Mytilus edulis: one gene and its partner. The protein of the gene in region 2 purifies or fractionates together with the protein of the main gene of each other region. This does not show direct contact. Links are inferred from orthologs where the notes say so. Each region holds a gene or a part of one and is shown on either strand. Other genes may lie near its edges.

Region 1 (10,094 bases), about 13 Mb from region 2:
TCAATTTTCTTGGATTCAATAAACAATGCATGTTGGTGGATATTTATTTGGTGGTTTTGCCAAAGTCTGCATAAAAGCCTACATGGATATAACATTTGTATTTCGTTGAACATTTGAATTTGTCGTTCACCTTTACCCACGAAAATTGATATCCCACGAATAATTATCCACAGTATACAAAGGTCCCATGAATAATTATCCACAGTACACAAAGGTTTCCATATAAATACAAAATAACCTTGATAGTTTTTATTCTGCAAGATTAAAATCCGTGCATTGGAAAATCTAAATTTACTAGAAAACGAGACATCTTTCGTCTGTGACCTAATTGAAACAAGAATGTGTCCATAATACAAAGATGCCCCATCCGCACTATCATTGTCTTTGTTCATTGGACCCTGATATTAGGGAAAAACTCTAATTTGGCATTAAAATTAGAAAGAGCATATCATAGGGAACATGTGTACTAAATTTTAAGTTGATTAGACTTCAACTTCATCAAAAACTTCCTTGACCAAAAACTTTAACCTGAAGTGGGTCAGACAGACGATTAGACAAACTGGAACACAGACCAAAAAACATAATGCCCCTCTACTAGTGGGGCATAAAAAGGGACCTTATTTCTAAGCCAGGAGTTTAATTATTTGTACTGCAGGGCTCACGCTACCAGGCGACTTGGGCGAAGAAGTCGCCTTCCCGACCGTCACTTCGCTTTCCCCGACCCCCAAAAGCGAAAACAAGTCGCCCTGTTCTTGACGATAGTCGCTTTCAGTCGCTTCCGTCATCGGACATTTTCAATTTTTACCAAGTTGATGAAACATTAATTTTTTACTGATAATTAAAGAAATTAAGACATAAACGATTCATTATCTTTAGAAAAGAGGTTGAAGCATTATCTTCGTAGTGTGTAGCAGGTTATTTGATAAAAAAAACAACTTTTTATCACTTCTTGCATTTCTGCAAGTTCCGGTGCTTGTTACTCGAAAACGTACATCAACCTAAATTTCGGCGGCAAAATAAGTTTGTTACTTCATTTAAACGTGACAAAAGTTGCCTCCAGTAAATGTTTAATCCATTTATTGCATTAAAACCGTCATGTTCCTTTCCAAATAACTTGTCAAACATCGTTTATTTTTGTAAATTTTCTTGCATTCGTCCGCCATTGACCGATTTCTAAACTACGGATCTGAACCGGACCAGCTATGACCGAAATCCGTACTTTTACAATAATTACTACGGACGCACGGATGGAACAGCTGACAGAATAATATTGATCACAAAAGGGAAAATTACGCATTCCACACGCATTAAGAGACTTTTGGTTACATCTAATTGATTGGTGTATATAATTCCCTATATTTTTTATGGATTGTTTCAAACTATTGATTAAAGTTGCTTAACTCTGAGACTATTATACTAATATCAATATATTATGGCCCAGCTTAATAACTTTTATATTTTTTATGAGAAACACTGAATTATATACACAAGATAATTTTTAATTAAATTGTAATTGATATATTATAATTTCTTTACATTTTTTAAAATAATTTTTTTTTTTTAGTGCTAGATATTTAGTTTGTAGTTTCTCACAAGAACCTTAGTAAAACTTAAACAACTTTTAATTTCAATGTTACTTTAATTGTAATCTTTTACTCATATGAATTGAACAACATAAAAAGAACATTATTTACATATGGCCCTTTATACTATTGTAAAATCCAAACATTGTAGCGCTCCGCGCGAATGAGCACTTCTCTTTCAAATCTCACCACTTCTCCCTATCAGTTTCAAAAAGAGAAGTCACTTCTCCCTATAATTCTGAAGTAGTGTGAGCCCTGTACTGTCTTCTGATTTAGTCATGAGGCCCTCATTGAGGGTCTGGGTAGGTTTTACAGAACAGAGAATTCTAGATCATTACTACAAAAAAATGTGCAAAAAAAAATAAGAGTAGAGAAAAATGGGATGCTGAAATATTAAGAACATAAAATAATAGACAAAATATAGAAAGAAAAGAAAACAATGACTGTAAAAAATAAAGTATGCAGAAATAAAGGACCCCTCCAAGCCCTCAGCTATGGTTGTGAGTGTTCAACCTATCCCTAACCTGTGACAGTGGTATTATAGCACAACATAAGACTTGTATCCAGACTTGGGCAAAACCATGAAATCAAATATCAACGAAAATATATACCGGGTACCCACAAAAATAAATGTTAGTATTTAACTTACCCCCAACTTAGTTGTGCTCCTACTAATTCTTTCAGTCTGTTCCTTGCTTTATTAATAAATTTTAGTATTTAACTTAGTATTTAACTTACCCCCAACTTAGTTGTGCTCCTACTAATTCTTTCAGTCTGTTCCTTGCTATATTAATAAATCAAAAATAATTTTTAGAATGAATATTGTCAAAAATAAAAGCACTCTGGTTTTCCATTAGATTGAATAAAAGATGCAAAGATGAGTTTATAATTAAAGTAAAAGGTTGGTAATGAGACAACTATCCACATGACTTCAAATGACAAAGATAAAAACCTATACGGTATCATAAGTCAGCTATAAAAGTCCAAAAATGAAAAAGTTAAACAATTTGTGAAAACTAACGGCTTAATCTATAATAATACTAGTAAAAATAAATACGACAGACATGAACCAATGTATGGATTAATTTTCATCATTAATGGAAATTTGAGAAGTAAGTTCTTCATTTGGAAAACTTATACTGTGGATTCAATTATTTTCGTGGATTCATTTATTTTCATGGGCAGTGTTCTCTCCAGAGCCTTTTAGCATCATGGTAATGTGATGCTATTATCTTAAATGTGTGCTATTTGAAATTGTCTTAAAGATTATATTATGGATGTGATGCTATTATTTTTAGAAACTACCGTAGATATTTCAATTTCCCCTTGCTAGTTTCTGCATTCAAAGCCTCTAGAAAATTTGCAAGTCTTTGAACATATGAATTTGTGTTTCACCTTTGTCAACAAAATCCAGGAAAATTGGTATCCAAGGAATAATTATGAATCCACAGTAATTAAATAGTGAAAATGTATATTGTACTGCCATTTTAGGTACCTGTTTGTATTGTTTGTATTGATGTGTTTGTCTGACTGTAGTTTCTTGTCCTCCATGACTGGGATAACAGTTTTCTTCTACATTGGTATGATCTTTGTAAACCTGAGGGTCTATAAAATACAAAATTCTATTATCTGACTGAAATTTAAGAGTCTAAAAAAAGAACACAAAGGGCTACATATTCAACATGTCAAAGCAAAGCATGTCAATTTAAAAAAAAATACAGCCATGGAAGTGATATCTGCAAATATTTAACTTTAAGTTTTTAAAATTGCATTTGATCATTTCACCATATTTTAAATACCATGAATCACATCTGGCTATCTATCTCAATAAAATAATGATGAAAACACAAAGGTACAGAACATAAAGATAGGATACAATGTAAACACAATAACGACACTTTAAAAATGGCATTGTGTAAATTTGAGATATTAATGACAATATTGACAAAACATTGTGCACTGGACATACTTCAATTTGTTTAATCATTAAAGATAAATACATTGTATTCCAGTATTTAACTGTGTAAATCAAGGGGAAACTAATAAAATGGTTGCGGCAATACAAATATTTTGCTTTTTTTTCAACAAACTTTAACATATTCTGATCAAATTTAAACATAACTAGACAACGATAAGAAAAAAATAAAAATCATGGTAAATGGACCTTGTGTGAAAAGGTATCAGGACTAATAGTAGCTGCTGAACAACTAGGCAAACAGGTACTAGGGCGAACAGACCCGGATTCATGTGATAGGTTGCTATTTTCGAAATGATTAATTACATGTAGGTGTTTTGATATCAGTGGATATATAAATAGAATACATATCCAGAAAATTATACATGCTTTACATGCCAAAGACTAGAGAAATGAACTCTGAAAAGGCCTTCCCGTCTAGCAAGCGCAAAGGTCAACAACTGCAGCCAAAGTACACCCCACGGGGCCTAAATTTATATTTTTCATGTCTTATATTTTCAAACTAAGTATATATAGACATATAGACTTCTCAAAACCTTGTTCTTTACGAAGTGCCCTTTGAAAGAGGGATTTCCTAATAAAGATACAGTGGTGGATCCAGATATTTACATAAGTGGGGGCCCACTGACAGTTGTGGATCCAGAAATTTTCATAAGTGGGGGCCCACTGACTGACCTAAGAGGGGGCCCTGCTCCAGTCATGCTTCAATGATTCCCTATATAAGACTCAAAGTTTTTTCCCAAAAAGGGCCCCCCCCCCTAAATCCGCCTCTGACTGACTGCCTAAGAGGGGGCCCGCTCCAGTTATGCTTCAGTGATTCCCTATATAAGGAACCGAATTTTTCACAGAAAAAAAGGGGAGCTTGATAAGGACTGGATAATTTCTTTACAAGAATGTTATACTTCTACTACTACTATAGACGGAGAATGAGTCTATGCTGCCTGGTGCGACATTTGCATGTTTCCAGTCAGACGGTTTACAAAATCAAAAACTGATCAACGAGAATGCAATGGACAGATCGTTAAAATAACAAAGAGTCTTATTTAAATAGAACTTTTACATTTTTCTTGTCAATTTTAATAAAGAATCCATTTTCCGGTTTGTGGAGATTATAAATCACAAAACGGTATCAGCGGACCCGATTTGTTTCCGTATTTAGTTTTGTATTTAATCAATAAACGAGGATATGGCTGGGATTTATAAAAGAGAATACAAAGGGTGAGGGAACAAGGAAAAGATGAGAGAATAATTCGGTGCAAAAGTTCATAGAATAATCTTGGAAAATTGAAAGAATTAGTTAATTGATTACAGAAATTAATGATATACCATACAGAACGGCTTAATTCTTATTACAGACAGAAAAAAAATTAAAGTGCTTCAAGAGTATTTTACAGAATAAAAGTTATTCTTAAAAGAAAAAAAAAATCGCATAAAAATTATGAAATACAGAAATAAAAGATCCACGTCAAGATCCTAATATACATTCCAAGTTGTTGAAGAATCATTTATTCCCTGTTTTGGTTTTTTTTTAATGTTAAAAATACATTTATGAATATTGATAAATAAGAAAATATTACTTTATATTAAACAATTGCAGAGTGCACACTCTGAAATGTCTCGCCTTACTTACTAATTTTTCATATTGTGTTAATAGTCCTCAACATGAAAATGAGGTCAAGCAAGTTCAAATAAACTGATCAAGAAATATATGTACACCTTACAATCATTCAATACACTGAATATAGTTGATCTATTGCTTATAGTTTCTGTAAGAAACAGACTTCACAAAGAAAACTTAACATTGACCAATGAACAATGAGGTAAAAGTCAGATGAACCATGCCAGGCAGTGTGAGACATGTACAGCTTACAATCCTTCCATACAACAAATGTAAGTGACCTTTTGCATATATGGATTTTGTTTCAAGAATAACAGACAAAAAAATAAAAATTAAGCCATGAAAAAGAGGTCATGGTCAAATAAAAACCTGCGAGACTGACAACTACATCGTTAAATATTTCCATACACGAAACATAGTTGTCCTATTGCATATACAGTTGTAGCATTAGAAAAAAAACACAAAAACTTATTTATAACCACTGAACCATGAAAATGAGGTCAAGGTCAGATGTCACCTACCAGTTGGTCATGTTCACCTTAGAGTCCTTCCATACACCAAATACACTATGCTTATAATACCTATGATATGGACGACCACCAAAACCTACGTTACCTTGTTCACTGATCCTTGAAACGAGGTCCAGGTCAAGTGAAAACTGTCGGACCCCTGTCCAGCTTCTGCGGACAAAAGTCACAGGCTCAACAAAAACCCACAACACATTTGTAACCTATATGTATGCAGTGTGGGTCTTCGAAAAATTTACTTAATTAATCCATTTAAATAATTTGTAAAAGTATATAAGTTGTGACTAATTCTATTTGTCCCATTGATCGGAACCGAATTAGTCATAAACTAAACTTAATCGATTGACAGAAATGAAATCATGTGCAACACCCTTTATAGACTCTTTATATCAGAAACCTACTTTCTGTTTATTATTTGCATTTGCCATCAAGATTCAAACTATATTTAAGTGATAAAATCTAATATTAGTGATCAGGGGCCGTATGTATAAAACATCTTAACTTAAGCAGTGGCGGATCCAGAACTTTTCCTAAGGGGGCCCGCTGACTGACCTAAGGGGGGGGGGGCGCTCCAGTTATGCTTCTATGATTCCCTATATAATCAACCAAATTTTTCCCACGAAAGGGGGGCCCGGCGACCCCCCCCCCTGGATCCGACTATGTTAAGTATTCCTTAAACTTAGATTTCACTAAGAATTTCATTAGTTAAGTCAAATTCTTAAATGGTATGCATAAACTTACTTAAAGACACATCTTTCTATTCAGTTCTACCAATAATACCTTCTTTAAATTTTATTTACACTTTGGCATATTTAAAGCAGAGACATATATATGTCTCTGTTTAAAGCTTCAAAATAAGCCACACAAAAAAAATGGGGTCACCGACCTCGTTTTCGATTTGGAACGGCATCTTTTTCGAAGAATTTGAAAATCGTGACTTGAAGTTCTTTGCCATGTAAAATTTTATAAAAAGTCCGAATCACTTGAAAATTTCATCTTGTGTTAACCTTATTGTTTGCAGAAACTACATTATTCGTATATTTATCAACTGAAAAACAAAAAGAGATATCGATAATTTGGTATAAACAATTTTCTCGCCTTTTTATGGTGTAATGTGGAGGTTAAATATAGTAATTTGAAAAAAGACCAATGTTTTTTTTTTCATATTAATATCATTTTTATCTATTAAAAAAAAAAAAAAAAAAAAAAAATGATTTTTTTGTTGCTTTGTACTGATCTAAAGAGTCGTCTTTTTCAACAGTTTGTTATTTTGGTGTACTTTTACACCACTTTCTATGTGAATGGGACGACCACAGCTTGTATGTCCATGTCGTAATTGTTTCCAGTTGTTATTTTGTAATATATGTGATGAACTAATATCTCATGACTGGAATTGGTTTTTTTTTGGTAATAATTATTTTAGTGCTTTGTGCCGATCTTAAAATCGTCCCTTTTCAACTGATTTTTCCCAGTTATTTTTTAGGGTTTGCTATTACACTACTTTGTCTAAAACTATCGTTTACTGTACAGTATGGGGTTTTGCTCATTGTTGAATGCCGTGTGGTGACCTTTAATTATAACACTTCAGTAAAATATCAAAAATGTATTTGTCTCATCGGTAATCATACCACCTCTTCTTATTTTTATATCAGCAAGGTGCATTTTGAGGTACTGTAAATGACCAGGACAATTTGGGTGCGTTTATCCTTCAACTGTCAAAACAACAAGGAGCCAAGAGCCAAAATTTAAAAGATAATGTTTAGTTTTAATTCAGGTATTCTGAAATCTTTGTTTATGTAGCTACTCTTTTGCAAGCAGTAACACGAGGTTTTCCGTTTATATTCTTCTCAGCTAGCACTAGTCAAATGCCATTGTCCGTATCTCGCCTTTTAGTCAATTGCAGTTGAAATAAATCCAGACCGGCACTATCTGATATTTTTTTTGCCATTGCGGACGAAATCACGCTTCTCTCTGTTAAAGACTTTAATGTAACTATAGTCTTGCCTTTGATACTATGTTTTGTTTAAAGCATAGAGCGCAAGAAGTGGTGACAAATGAGTATGGACTTAACTCAGTGATGCTACATTTGGTAAATTCAACAAATTCTTTCAGCATTTGTACATCAGCGGATGCATTATGGGCACTGTAATTCTTTTTTTAAGAAGGTAGAAACAAGCACTTCTTTTTTATGCGATTTCAATTCTGGATACAGATATCGGAAAAAAGGGAGTGTATCAATGAAACCAAGAATTTTTTCCTCAAACGATGAGCAAAGTTGAAATTTCTGTAAACAGTGAACTAATCCAGGTACATCGAAACATTTTGCGTTATGTCCGATCAACATGCATTTTTCTGGTATCTTTTCTTGTAACCAAATAATAAAATTCTGTAAACTTTCTTGTGGTGAACATGAAATGACTTTACGGTCATTGTAACACAATATGGTGTTACACATAGACGACTCAGTTACCTCAGAGGCATATTTACGTATCCCCGAAGAAGGGGTAATATATTGATCAAATACATGTATATTATTTACTGCTGAAATTTGAAAGATGTCATGTGCAGTTCAGAGATAATGAAGATGTTTCCAGGTCGAAATAAACACATGGAATACAGGTCTGGATATTTTTGACTGGATTAAGCTCTTCTATTACCAAAGGATTGGACATAACGTCTGTAATTGCATGTTTTGACAAAGCATAATATGAGGCAGGCATTACCTGTGAATGGGGACGAAGTCTGTATGATTTTTTTTTGTAACTTTTTAAAATATTTGTGAAAAAAAGAAACGGAAATACCGTAACGTTTCCGATTTTGGTTCTGTTGTTAGGGATTTTACTTGTGACGTTATTTAAGTTATGACGTCATGTTCAATGTAAACAAAATAACACAATGCATCAGGTAACGTTTATTCATATCAAAGACAAAGAATGATTAAAAATGAAATATTGGTATTGTGTTCCTTGAGTTCCAATATTTTACTAGACTAATCAAAGTCTCACGACAACAAGACCGGAAAAAGGAAGAAGATTTCTGCGTTCTGCGCAGATCCGGAAATTAAAAAACACGACAAAAAAAAATTGAACGATTTTGAGTTCATTAGTACAATGAAAAATTCGGGAAAATTTTCCCGATTTTTTTTTTTTTTTTTTTTTTTATTGATTTTTCTACTGTCATTGGGGACTTCGTCCCCATATCAATTTCTGTTTTGTACGTATCCCCTTCTCTTCTCTCTAGAACATTATTTTCATTTCTAGCTTAACGTCAAAGAAAAAAATTATAATAGCCTTTCAAGACGTCATAATTATTTGGACTTTTATTCTTGCTTCTAACATTGTTGTCAACATGTTGTTGACCGACTCGTTCTCTTTTGAAGAAGCACAAGGAACCAGTTTATCTATGTTTTCGACATAATCTTGAAATATTTTTGCTTAGCTTATATTTCAAATCCAGATTTGACACTGATCATTTAATAAAATACGGAATTTCAATGCCTTCAATGTCTCTGGATTTGTAATCATCTTAGAACGTCAAATGTTTGCGTGGGTGTTATCACGTCGCTTATATTGATTATAGGACGCAGTTTTGTAAACCCCGGGTTGACAGACAAGACAATTCACACGAGGTTTGTTTACTAGTAGGCCCTATATGATTTATTAAGCAATGAAGTCGGGAAAAACATGTTATCAATTAAAATTTTATACACAGATCAAAATATTTTTGCAACATATTGCCACAAGCACAGTCGCCTGAACGGCTGAAGATTTCATAATTATAGCAAAAAATGGGGGAAATAAAATCAGGCAACCGTGATAACGCTGATCAATGCTAATATGAGTTCTATCGTTTTGACTTTTATAAGCCCCGGGACATCAAAATGTTTAAACAGAGTTGCATAAATCCACAGTCGTTGGTATATGTTTTTTTTAATTACTTAGCTGAAAGGATGTGTTTTCTGGGCTAGTAACTTTTATCTCAAAGGAAGCGTTTCCAAAATCTGAAAGGAGTTTTGGTCGATGTTAACGAAAAAAAAAAAGTATAAATATAAAAAAATTCTAAAATATAAAAATACTTCTCAAAGCCAAAAGTATCCTTAAAATTTCGACAATTTAATTGTATATTCACCGTCAATCTCCGTACAGCGCTCGTTTCCTTTCCGTATACTTAGTACACTACAATACAATGATTTTATATTTAGGGAAAACGGTACTATTTATTCTGCCATAGGCGACAATGTTAACATTTTCTAAATTTACCACTTTTTAAGATAAAAACCTGGATAAAACAGTTATATGTTGTGTTAGTACTTTATTATTCTGTTTTAAAAATTAAAGCCAAATAGTATCATGACCAACTTCCAACGGAGCTTGTTTATGTTATCCATGCCC
Region 2 (10,385 bases):
CATTTCTGATATTATAAATTTTCCAGAATTCAATGAATTCCTTGCTTTAATTGTCTTTTTAGTTTAAATATGTATTCAAGTTGCTGTCTCAATGATCTGTATATCCTATATTTCTCTTTATTTTCAATGATAACAAACACTTCTTACCAAAATCATTTCTTGTAAGTATACACTGCATTGGGTGATCTGCAGTGTGTCTTGAAGTTGTGGCTCCTGATTCATAACATGTAGAACACAGGTCATAATCATAACAAATTAAACACTTGTATCTCCTCCCTTTAAAGTTCCCTTTCAAACAGGAATCACAGCTTACACCTGAAAATCATTGAAAGTTAAAGTATATTATTATTACTATAAATATTATATAGCAACTTACTTAATATTAAATAAATAATAATGTACAGCATCTATATATCTTGCATGTGAATAATAATTATATAATGATCAGTTAAAAGCAGGTTTTTTTTGGTATGACTGATCATGCTGATAGCTACATGTATATGAACTTTCAAGATTGTTAAAATAATTCAATGAAACATATATGTATGTAAACCAGGGCTTCCAAAAATATTTAAGCCAGCCAGACATTTAATATCTGATCCCGATTTTAATCGCTAAGAATAAGTCACAAAAGACAATTATGGTAATCAGATAGCCATCCCAATGATTGACATTACATTAAAAAAAAAACCGATACTTTGATATGAATTTGATGTTCTGACGTAAAGTTAAATTGGCAGTGCATCATTCAAAGTGTGCACATCAGCGTGCTCATATTTGCCATACTCTTTAATTGTGCAAAATGACATTGTCAAAAACTTTACATTTGTTTTTTAAAATCACATTTTTCTAAAACCGGATGTTGACTTAACTTGACAATGGTAAAACATGAACCATAAATGGATACGTAAAATCTGTGTACGATTTACAAAGCACGACTGAGTGAAGAAGCTCTTTCCACGTTATTTCTTCAACAAAATACTTGAAATGAATGTTAGATACAGTAATCAATGATAATTTTAGCATTTTTGAAGAAATATAGGATGTGTAATTAAATTCCCCACCTAAGCACATGCGCACACAAGTTCTAGTTCATACAACGTAGTTCTGACGATTTTTCATTTAAAACCTCATTAAATTTTTCATCAAATCATGTTTATTAACGTATTTCTTATAATTTAATCTTTTAGACTATATCAATTACATTGTGTACATGTACATACAAACCGTTGAAATGTAAGGCCTAAATTAAAATATTGTTTGTTTGCCCTTTTCCGACCCTATGTTTTGAAACAGGGTAGGTAGGTAGGTAAAATATTTAATTTTTTTCCCCAAAAAAATAACTTGGCTCGGTATATTATTTGTCATGGGTAGGCAGGTAGGTAAAATATTTTATTTTATAGATACGAAATCTGCATAATGTCATTTTTTTGTCCGTTTTGTTTTTGCAAATAAGTTTTCCGCTGGAACTATTAGTTTTGAAAAAAAATATAAAAGAGATAACTTTGTACTGGTAAGATAATGTCCGGGCAGACATATATTACTAGTAGAAAAAGTCCGTAGAGTGTTACAAATTTCGTGTGTGCCTTTTTTTCCAATAAAAATGCTATAAGAATTAAAACTCAATTGTCACGTATTTTGCATCACATTTATAAATGATCTGTATGGAAAACTTGGCGATTTTACTGCCAGATATTCTCCACTTTACAGGGTTTTGTCACTTTTGGTTCATGTCAGATATAAATAATTTAGCGGCATCGTTAACATAATCATTCTGATATATGCGGATCACAAAAGGCCATCCCTACATAGAATACAACGTCCGTTTACAAATTAGTTTGTACACACGTTAATACTTTTGTATCAAACGAACTTTTTTGTAAATGAACCCTGCTCTTTAAGTTTAAAGGTACAGAGTAACGTACTTCATTATATGATTTCAGAAAGCGTTCAACATCGATTTCAAACAAATGCTTTGAAACTTCAATTGCAAGTGTTCATGTCAAACGCTCAGGTGATACCAAACGGACTGGACCTTATACGTAAAGATAAAACCCGAGAATTCCGGTAAAAAAGTTTTGAGCAGGAAATACAAATATAAGATTTTTGGTAGGAACGAAAAAATAAAATAAAATAAAATCTTGCTGGTAAATACAAATAAAAGATTTTCAGGCGGAACGAATTGATAGGGTCGGTCAGTAAAGGGCAAACAAACAATATTTTAATTTAAGCCTAAGTAATAATTGTGAATAGACAGATCAATTTATATGATGTCCACCGATGTCCGGTACTGAAAATAGTTTACCTGTCACCTGAACGGTAGATTTCAGCTGTCCAACAACTAACTTGCCTTGATCATGTTGATTAAAATTTGAAAGTATTGAAGTAGGGGTTGTTTTGATAGTAATTAATCATCATGTAACTTTTATGATCAGAAATGTGTGGATGTCAGTTAAAGGCAAAAGGTTGGGTCAAAAAGATCGTGAATTATGTTAAAATGACTGAAAAAGCCTTGAAAACTAAAAAGTAGATGACCGTTTCATGCTTTGCCCAGCCAGTCTTTTAACGGACATTATACAATTGTCCAGAATATATGACCGTTTTGGAAGCCCTGATGTATACATGTATCTAATATTCATAGGTTAATTTTTTTTCCATCAACATTATATTTTAGAATTGCACCCAATAATTCCATCACTAACCCAATATTTCAGTACATATTGTATTTTCTATTTTCCCCCTTAGGTCAGTAGCAGTGCTAGCCCTGTTTAATGTCGTTCATAGATAAATTATATAATTAATATCAAACATCAGTCAGAGATTGCTCTTATGTTTAATTTGACACCATTTTTTAAAACTTAAAATCAGTTACAAATGTAGTACGAAACCTTTATTTCCACCAACTTTCCATTTTCAGCAACATACTATAAGTTAGAACAAGATAACTCGTTCTTGTGTTATTTTCTCACACAGATTAATTGTAATCATGAGAGCTATTTTATGCAAAAAGGCTGACATTTATATATGACTTTGTCAAATTTGTCTGGATATGACAGATTTGATGAAGAGGCTTACCTTGATAAGTTGAGTTATTAATTGGGTCACTGAAGGTATCATACATGTACATGTACATGTATGCATAAATTTACATCAAAAATTGAATGCACTGGAATCAAATAACACTTGCATGATTTGAGAACTTGTTGATATATAATCGAAGGAACATAAAACAAAAACCAGGGTTTGAATGTTTGATTTATACACTTGAAAATGAATCTATGACAATATCAAGTAAGAAACAAGGTTTGGTTGGGGTTTTGTAATGTTTTCTTTACATTCAAGTCATCAACAAATGTTTTGAGAGGCAATTTGATGTCTAACTTCCCCAGCAGGTCCTCTCATTCTGTATCACTCACCTGATCAAACTCTGGTACAAAAAAAAGAGGGACGAAAGATACCAAAGGGACAGTCAAACTCATAAATCAAAAAAAAACTGACAACGCCATGGCTAAAAATGAAAAAGACAAACAGAAAAACAATAGTAAACATGACACAACATAGAAAACTAAAGAATAAACAACACGAACCCCACCAAAAAACTAGGGGTGATCTCAGATGCTCCGGAAGGGTAAGCAGATCCTGCTCCACATGTGGCACCCGTATTTTTTTTTACTATTTACCAAATTGCTGATGAAGATTCTTGTAATGTAGTCTCTTGATATGTCTTATAACAAATTTTGTTGCCAAGTGTAAACCAAAAATTCTTTTTTTCCACTTTCAAAGTGCATTTTAATTTAAATATCAAAACTAATCTAATCCAGTGGTCCTCTGACATTGTTTTACTGGTCTAAATGAAGAACCCTGATAACTGAGAGGAGTTTATAGGAAAGACGTCCTGACTTCTCTGTTGCAGGAAAGTCTTTTGAAATGATGTCAATTTTATTTTTATAAATAAAAATAATGGACTCTTAAACGTTCACCATTTTCATAAATGATATATTTGTGACTGTAATTGAGATATGATTACTGTAAATAATATTCCTCCCTCTTTGTTTCTTGGTGGATAATTTTAAAGATAAACACCATCATATATATCTAAAATTGGAGTGAAGAGTTGATGTATAAGAGCCTTGGTTTAGATCAAGACTTATTTCATTTTATGGTAATTTTTCAGTACATATTTCTATCACATATTACCAATTGAGATGGCGAGATTGTCCCTCTCATTTGTTGCCCACATAACGTTCATCTTATGCAAGCAATAATGTCTTGGAAGTGAAGTGAAAACAACTTCCTGGAAACTGTCTCGTGCTGACAACGACAACTGCTATCTGTCAATACCCAACATATAAATCATACACTGAAGCATGAAGTGCAACAGTGAAAATATTACTCTCAATGGGTACTATTTCTTATCAGAAAGATGACAGTTTTTATATTACGCTGAATATTATTGGTGGCCATTTTGTCGACAAATTTATGAACTCACCCTCATGCCTCGACATTTCGGAAATAAAGCTTTTATCTTAAAGAAAAGATATCCTGCTAAAGGTAGAGATAAAGAAGGATTTACTGTCAATTCTTCTGGCATGTAAATTAGCGTATGTTAAAGATTAATTTAGGAAAATCCAAGGTTACATTCTTGGCAAATGGGAACCATGATGACGTCACGTAATTTCACGGGAAGAAATTTAGAAATACGAGAGTTTTCTAAAAGATTTTTTTTTTAAATTTCACACCATTGATGAATAACAAAATATTGTTTAATCGTGCTCTATATATTTAAATAACATTAAAAGATTTTTTTCAGAATTATTCACAGTACAGTTCAACAAAAATTGCAAAATAAATAACATATAACTAAAACAGCAACGGACGTTATAAAACACCTGTTTCACTTTAGTTTATGTAGATTTCTACTACGTTTGTCTTTTACTTTGAAAGTTGTAATACAAAGAAATAAATAATAAATGGTATAATTAGAGGTTCGATATTCAGTGCAGGTGAATTTCTACCCAACTCAGTCTCAATCACAGCAGGGACTTTCTATTCTGTTAGTATAGAAAGTCCCTGGTCACAGGCACTTGTTTCAGTCCTAATTATATCATACCATGCGGGAAAAGTCGACTATCCATATGTGTCCATATGAATAAGATAGAAACATGCCTTTGCTCTCTCTGTTAAAACTTATTCGGGTATTTTCTTTACAAAAACTCAATCGAAATCTTTTTATAACTAATCAAATACCTGTTATTCATTGCGCAAATGAAGAGCTGTTCTGAAATTATTATTTTATTAATATCTCAGTAGCCAACGATGTATATTTCTGGTTGTTCTTTGAGCTGGGAACAGACGCCTTTGAGAGAACACTTAAAAAGGGAAAAACCCAGGTATATGGGGTATCCATCCATGACACAAAATCAGTATATGCTCAGCAAAACACACAATCATACAAAGCAATTTAACTTGAGGACCAGCGCCTTTATATTGCCGTTCTTCATCATTATTATCACTAGTTCACAGCTATTTTGTATGCCTATAACTCAAGAATAAAATTGAGAATGGAAATGGCCCGGGGAACATGTCAAAGAGAAAACAAACCGACTATATAGAGCAGATAACAGCTGAAGCCTTCAAGGCCACCAATGGGTATTCAACACAGCGAGAAAATCCCGCACCGGAGGTGGACCCAGTTGACCCTTTAATAAAAATGTGTACTAGTTCAGAGGAAATGGACGTCATACTCAACTCTAAAACATATAACTGAACTAAAATTTAAAAAAAAATACAACACAAACAATTAGTAAAGGCCAGATAGACGCTCCTGACTTGGGACAGGCGCAAACATGCGGTGGGGTTAATAAAACATAATATGAAGAAGAATGTGATATGTGAGACCAAATAACACAGAAATTAACAGCTATCGGTCACCGTACGGCCTTCAACAATGAGCACAGCCCATACCACACATTCAGCTATAAAAGCCCTCGAAATGACAAATGTAAAACAATTCAAACGAGAAAATTTACGGCCTAATTTATGTTAAAAAAATGAACGAAAAACAAATATGTAACACATCAACAAACGACAACAACTGAATAACAAGCTCTTAACTTGGGGCAGGCACTTACATACAGAATGTGGCGAGTTAAACATGTTAGCGGGATACAAACCCTCCCCCTAACCTAGGACAGTGGTGTAACAGTACAACATAAGACTGAACGAACTATAACAACTTAGTATTTTTTTTTATCAACTTGTTATCTTAATTGTTGCCTCACTTTTATTGTGCATTTTACATTTTGTAAAACATTTGGAGTTTGCTAAAAATCATTTAGCTTTTAAAGGACCCGAAAACAATCCGAGACTGGAATCATCTACCAGGAAACATCGCAACTGACATTGACTCGGACACTTTTAAGGAAAACCTCTGGTCACACTTCCATCCTGAGACCAGAGACACAGTGATGCTGTAAACAGTGGCGGATCCAGGGGGGGGGGGGGTTCCGGGGGTGCGCACCCCCCTTTATTTTTGCCGATCAATGCATTTGTATCGGGACATATGTTTTGCACCCCCCCTGCACCCCCCCTTTGCCCTGGGTTAGCACCCCCCCCCTTTCGAAAATTCCTGCATCCGCCCCTGGTAAAGATCATCCTTTTTTTTATCCTGCACCAACCACAATTTTAAACTTGTATCTAGTTATTTTTTTTTCCCGATTTGGTTGATCACAACTTGTACAGCACCTGCACTTGATGACACAGCATCAGCGTGATGGTATATTTTCCGTTGCTGATTAACGAAAGAAGAAGAAGGAAAATATAGCCACGAATTCAACAAAATAATTCATTAGAAAATGTTTTTGTTTTGGTTTCATACATTTATAAAAGCGTAATAAAGAAATAAAGGTTCACTGTCAAGCAGTCAATGTGGTCCTATTTGTCAAAATAAGCTTTACAAAACATCACTGGTATATATTGACGTGCACGTCAATAATATGAATTCGTAGTCCGGCCACTTTTTAATTTGACCTTTATAGTCCGAAAAGGGTACATATGTTTACTTAGTTTTGGTCATCTCTCACTGTTACCCTGTCTATAAACTACCAATTATCGATGTAAATACATCTCTACTGAAATGATTAAAATATTTAAGCATCAAACTACACGGCAAACTGGTAACCGTTCAAATATGTAGTGTTTTAGGTTCTGGGACGGCATCCGTTTTTTTTTTTTTTTCTATTTTAAAGAAAGCATGCATCTTGTTTTTAAAATCGTTTTTTTTTTCTTTCTTTTTTTTCCCTTCTTGACAGAGTTATCTTACTGTGTGATCGATAGATACACGTGTGAATGCGCTGTCATGTTCTTTCATTGACTGTTGTTATTGTCCATATTGATATTCGGTTATTTCTAGCCTATTTACCATATACACGACAACACATTGAGCATTTTCCATCGTGTGAGCTTTCATTGGGGTTTTTTTTTATAATTTTTGTTTGGCGGGCATATGATAATCATATGACGAATACAGTTACGTTGGAGGTGAGGTATACGAACTTTGCTCACGTAAAATATTTTTTTTAGGAGGCGATGTCAAAATGTGAAATACCGGGAAGAGATGCATTATATCAAGAATTTTAATCATTGAGAGCATCTACTTTTGTTAATAAATATAATAGAAATATATATTTTCTATATAAGAAAATGTCTGTACCACGTTACGAATATGACAGTTGTTAATTATCCGTTCGTTTGATGTGTTGGTGATTTAAATTTTACCATTTGATTAGCCTAGGGACTTTCCGTTTTGAATATTCCTCGTAGTTCAGTATTTTTTTTATTTTACTTTTTTCTATTTATCTTTTGAAACAACAAGCTTGGTATAGCTGCCGGAAAATTGTAAAGTAAAATTAAAGAATTTTAGAGTAAATATCGCTAAAATTTCAGTCTCATTTATCTCTATTGTGATCCCAAAACTATTTTACGCATTATAATTTTTTTTTAAATCGGCGTATTGCAGTTTTTTAAAGTCAAAGTAAATATATTTCTCTATATTTACTTAAGAGCAAACACTCAATTATTACAAGTTTTAAAAAGTGACATTCTAACCTATTTGTTATTCAACATGTTGAACTTTGAGGTGATCTTTGTAAATGCTCTGAGTTTTTGACGGAGCCATGCAATACATAAACCAAACTTTATGATATAAGATCATACAATGGCCTGATTGGATTTTTTTTAACAGATGAGAAAAATACAAACCCCCGTGAAAAAAGCAAATAAACTTTGTCAAGCAAAAATAGGCTAGGGAATTCAGAGAAAGGAAGTTCAAGCTAAACTTGCTAAATATGTGGAGGGGCAGTGTACAGGTAGAAATAACATTATGTTTACCTCAATTTCATACAATTGTTTCTTTTCCGCAAGCATTTATTACTAGTTTGTTCCCATGATCAAAAAGGTATTTTATGAAATCCCAGTCTGGCGAATTTTATAGGATGAGCACGGGGCGTAGTTCACATTTTAGAGACTTTTGTTAAAGGGAGTTAATACATTTTCTAAGAAAGTGAAAGTAGGAAATCATGGCACTTGCTGGTAAAATATTAGTATATGGTGGTAAAGGAGCCCTAGGATCAGTTTGTGTTAGCCATTTCAAGGCTAAAAACTATGTAAGATATTGCAGCTATGTTATGTTGACCGAATATAAGGCGAATTTACGATGAGGACACTTGTCCGGCTTCTTGAAAAAATATTGAATCTGGGTCTGTTGAAACAATTCGCAAATCAAAGTGTATAGTTCACAAGAAAGTAGTCTGTCAGCTGCCTTTATATTTATAATGTATATTTTGTCTGAAATATGTTTTTTTAGGTCTTGAATCTTCCTGCATAGTTTTTTTCAATAAGGTATGATAGGGGATACATGTACCTGCATGCCATATGTTAGTCAGTTTATTTTACTTGGCTCCTTGTACCTCACATTCAGATACAACTTTCACATTATTGTCGTGTACCTTGCCAATGCTGCAATGCTTACGATTTTTCAGTAAGAGTCAAAAATATTGATGTCATCTGTAACTTGTTCTAAAAATCAAAATTAAATTAGTCCTTTAAGTTAGACTAAAAAGAGTGCATCATGATCAGCAATTCCTAAATTCAACTGAAACAAAAATCAGAAGTTGATAAATGACATTGAAACCAGCAACTGCTCTGAACTGATTGTTACATATACGTTAGTTGTTGCTCTGAAAGATGGGCACTTTTGCCCCTGAGTCCTATACTTTTGCCCTTGAGGTGGAATCATAATAGTAATAGGTCTAAAAGAAGGTTTTGTAAATGAAAATCATCATCAACATGAACTAAATAGCATAATTGATGTATTTTGATAACATAAATTGCATTTCTGTGAAAAAAATGGTTTTAGTGAACATCCTTTCCATGTTGAGCAAGCAGTTGAAAAAATATAATGCTATATTGCACGAGTTATTTCACGAATTAATTTTTTTAATACTGATGATCAGCACTGCAGTCATTATGGAACTGTGATCATGAAGACACTGATTAATCTAACTATAAAATTAAAATTATGATTTTAAGCTACTATAAAATTATGATTTTAAGCAAGTTATTTTCGTTGCTTGCAAAATGATCATGACCTGCTTTTGATGTACTTACTCCCTAATTCTTGTGTTCAAGCTCTATTATAAAACAGGAGAAATATGTTTATTTTAGATTTTTTTCTTCTGTTTACTGATACTTTTATATGGGTTCTATGCATTGGTGTAAACCAGATTTATATTGTCAAGGAAAGTAATTTTTGCTTATTTCAAATCTAAAAGTTCTCTTTTCACATGTTTCATGGTAAGTTTTGTAACATGTAAAATATGTGAATGTTACACACCAGCCAACACACCAGTTATAGGGGGAGACCACTCTTCCCCCCCCCCAAAAAAAAAAAAAATAAACAAAAGAAGAGTGTTTGTTATCTGCTGTATGTTGTTAAGCAAGGTATTATAACATAGGATTATACATTTTCTTTATTTGTAGTGGGTTGGATCCATTGATTTGATGCCAAATGAACAGGCTGATGCCAATGTTATAGTTAAACCATGTGACTCATGGACTCAACAGGAAGATGAAGTTGTTAAAGCTGTTGATGGTATTGTCGGAAGTGATAAGTTAGATGCTGTTTTGTGTGTAGCAGGAGGCTGGGCAGGTGGAAATGCTGCAGCAAAAGGTGAAACATTTGCATAAAAGGCATCTTGAATATATCCTAACTTTACTTTGCATTTATATCGAGAAATGCAAAAATCCACAAGTCCAATTTTTTTCATTCTTTTTTACATGAAATATATACCCAGAGCAAAGGTAATTTATTGTTGTCCTTGATATAC

The links. The genes of interacting proteins can lie anywhere in the genome.
Region 1: the proteins of E3 ubiquitin-protein ligase KCMF1-like (region 2) and acyl-coenzyme A thioesterase 9, mitochondrial-like purify together in Homo sapiens (affinity purification with mass spectrometry; 3 studies listed by BioGRID and IntAct, with this or other methods). This does not show direct contact. The link is inferred for Mytilus edulis from reciprocal best matches to the Homo sapiens genes KCMF1 and ACOT9.

What each region holds. Positions count from the first base shown.
Region 1 is NC_092347.1:66,325,119-66,335,212, reverse strand, and holds the start of acyl-coenzyme A thioesterase 9, mitochondrial-like, read right to left. Parts: upstream 4,690-10,094; 5' UTR 4,651-4,689; coding exon 4,619-4,650; intron 3,189-4,618; coding exon 3,079-3,188; intron 2,368-3,078; coding exon of another isoform or gene 2,322-2,367; intron 2,279-2,321; coding exon 2,233-2,278; intron 1-2,232. UniProt on the Homo sapiens protein: Mitochondrial acyl-CoA thioesterase. Catalyzes the hydrolysis of acyl-CoAs into free fatty acids and coenzyme A (CoA), regulating their respective intracellular levels. Regulates both mitochondrial lipid and amino acid metabolism.
Region 2 is NC_092347.1:79,329,116-79,339,500, reverse strand, and holds the start of E3 ubiquitin-protein ligase KCMF1-like, read right to left. Parts: upstream 4,690-10,385; 5' UTR 4,506-4,689; coding exon 4,490-4,505; intron 316-4,489; coding exon 148-315; intron 1-147. Other genes in the region: dihydropteridine reductase-like, read left to right, coding at 8,577-8,663, 10,039-10,228. UniProt on the Homo sapiens protein: E3 ubiquitin-protein ligase which accepts ubiquitin from an E2 ubiquitin-conjugating enzyme and then transfers it to targeted substrates, promoting their degradation by the proteasome.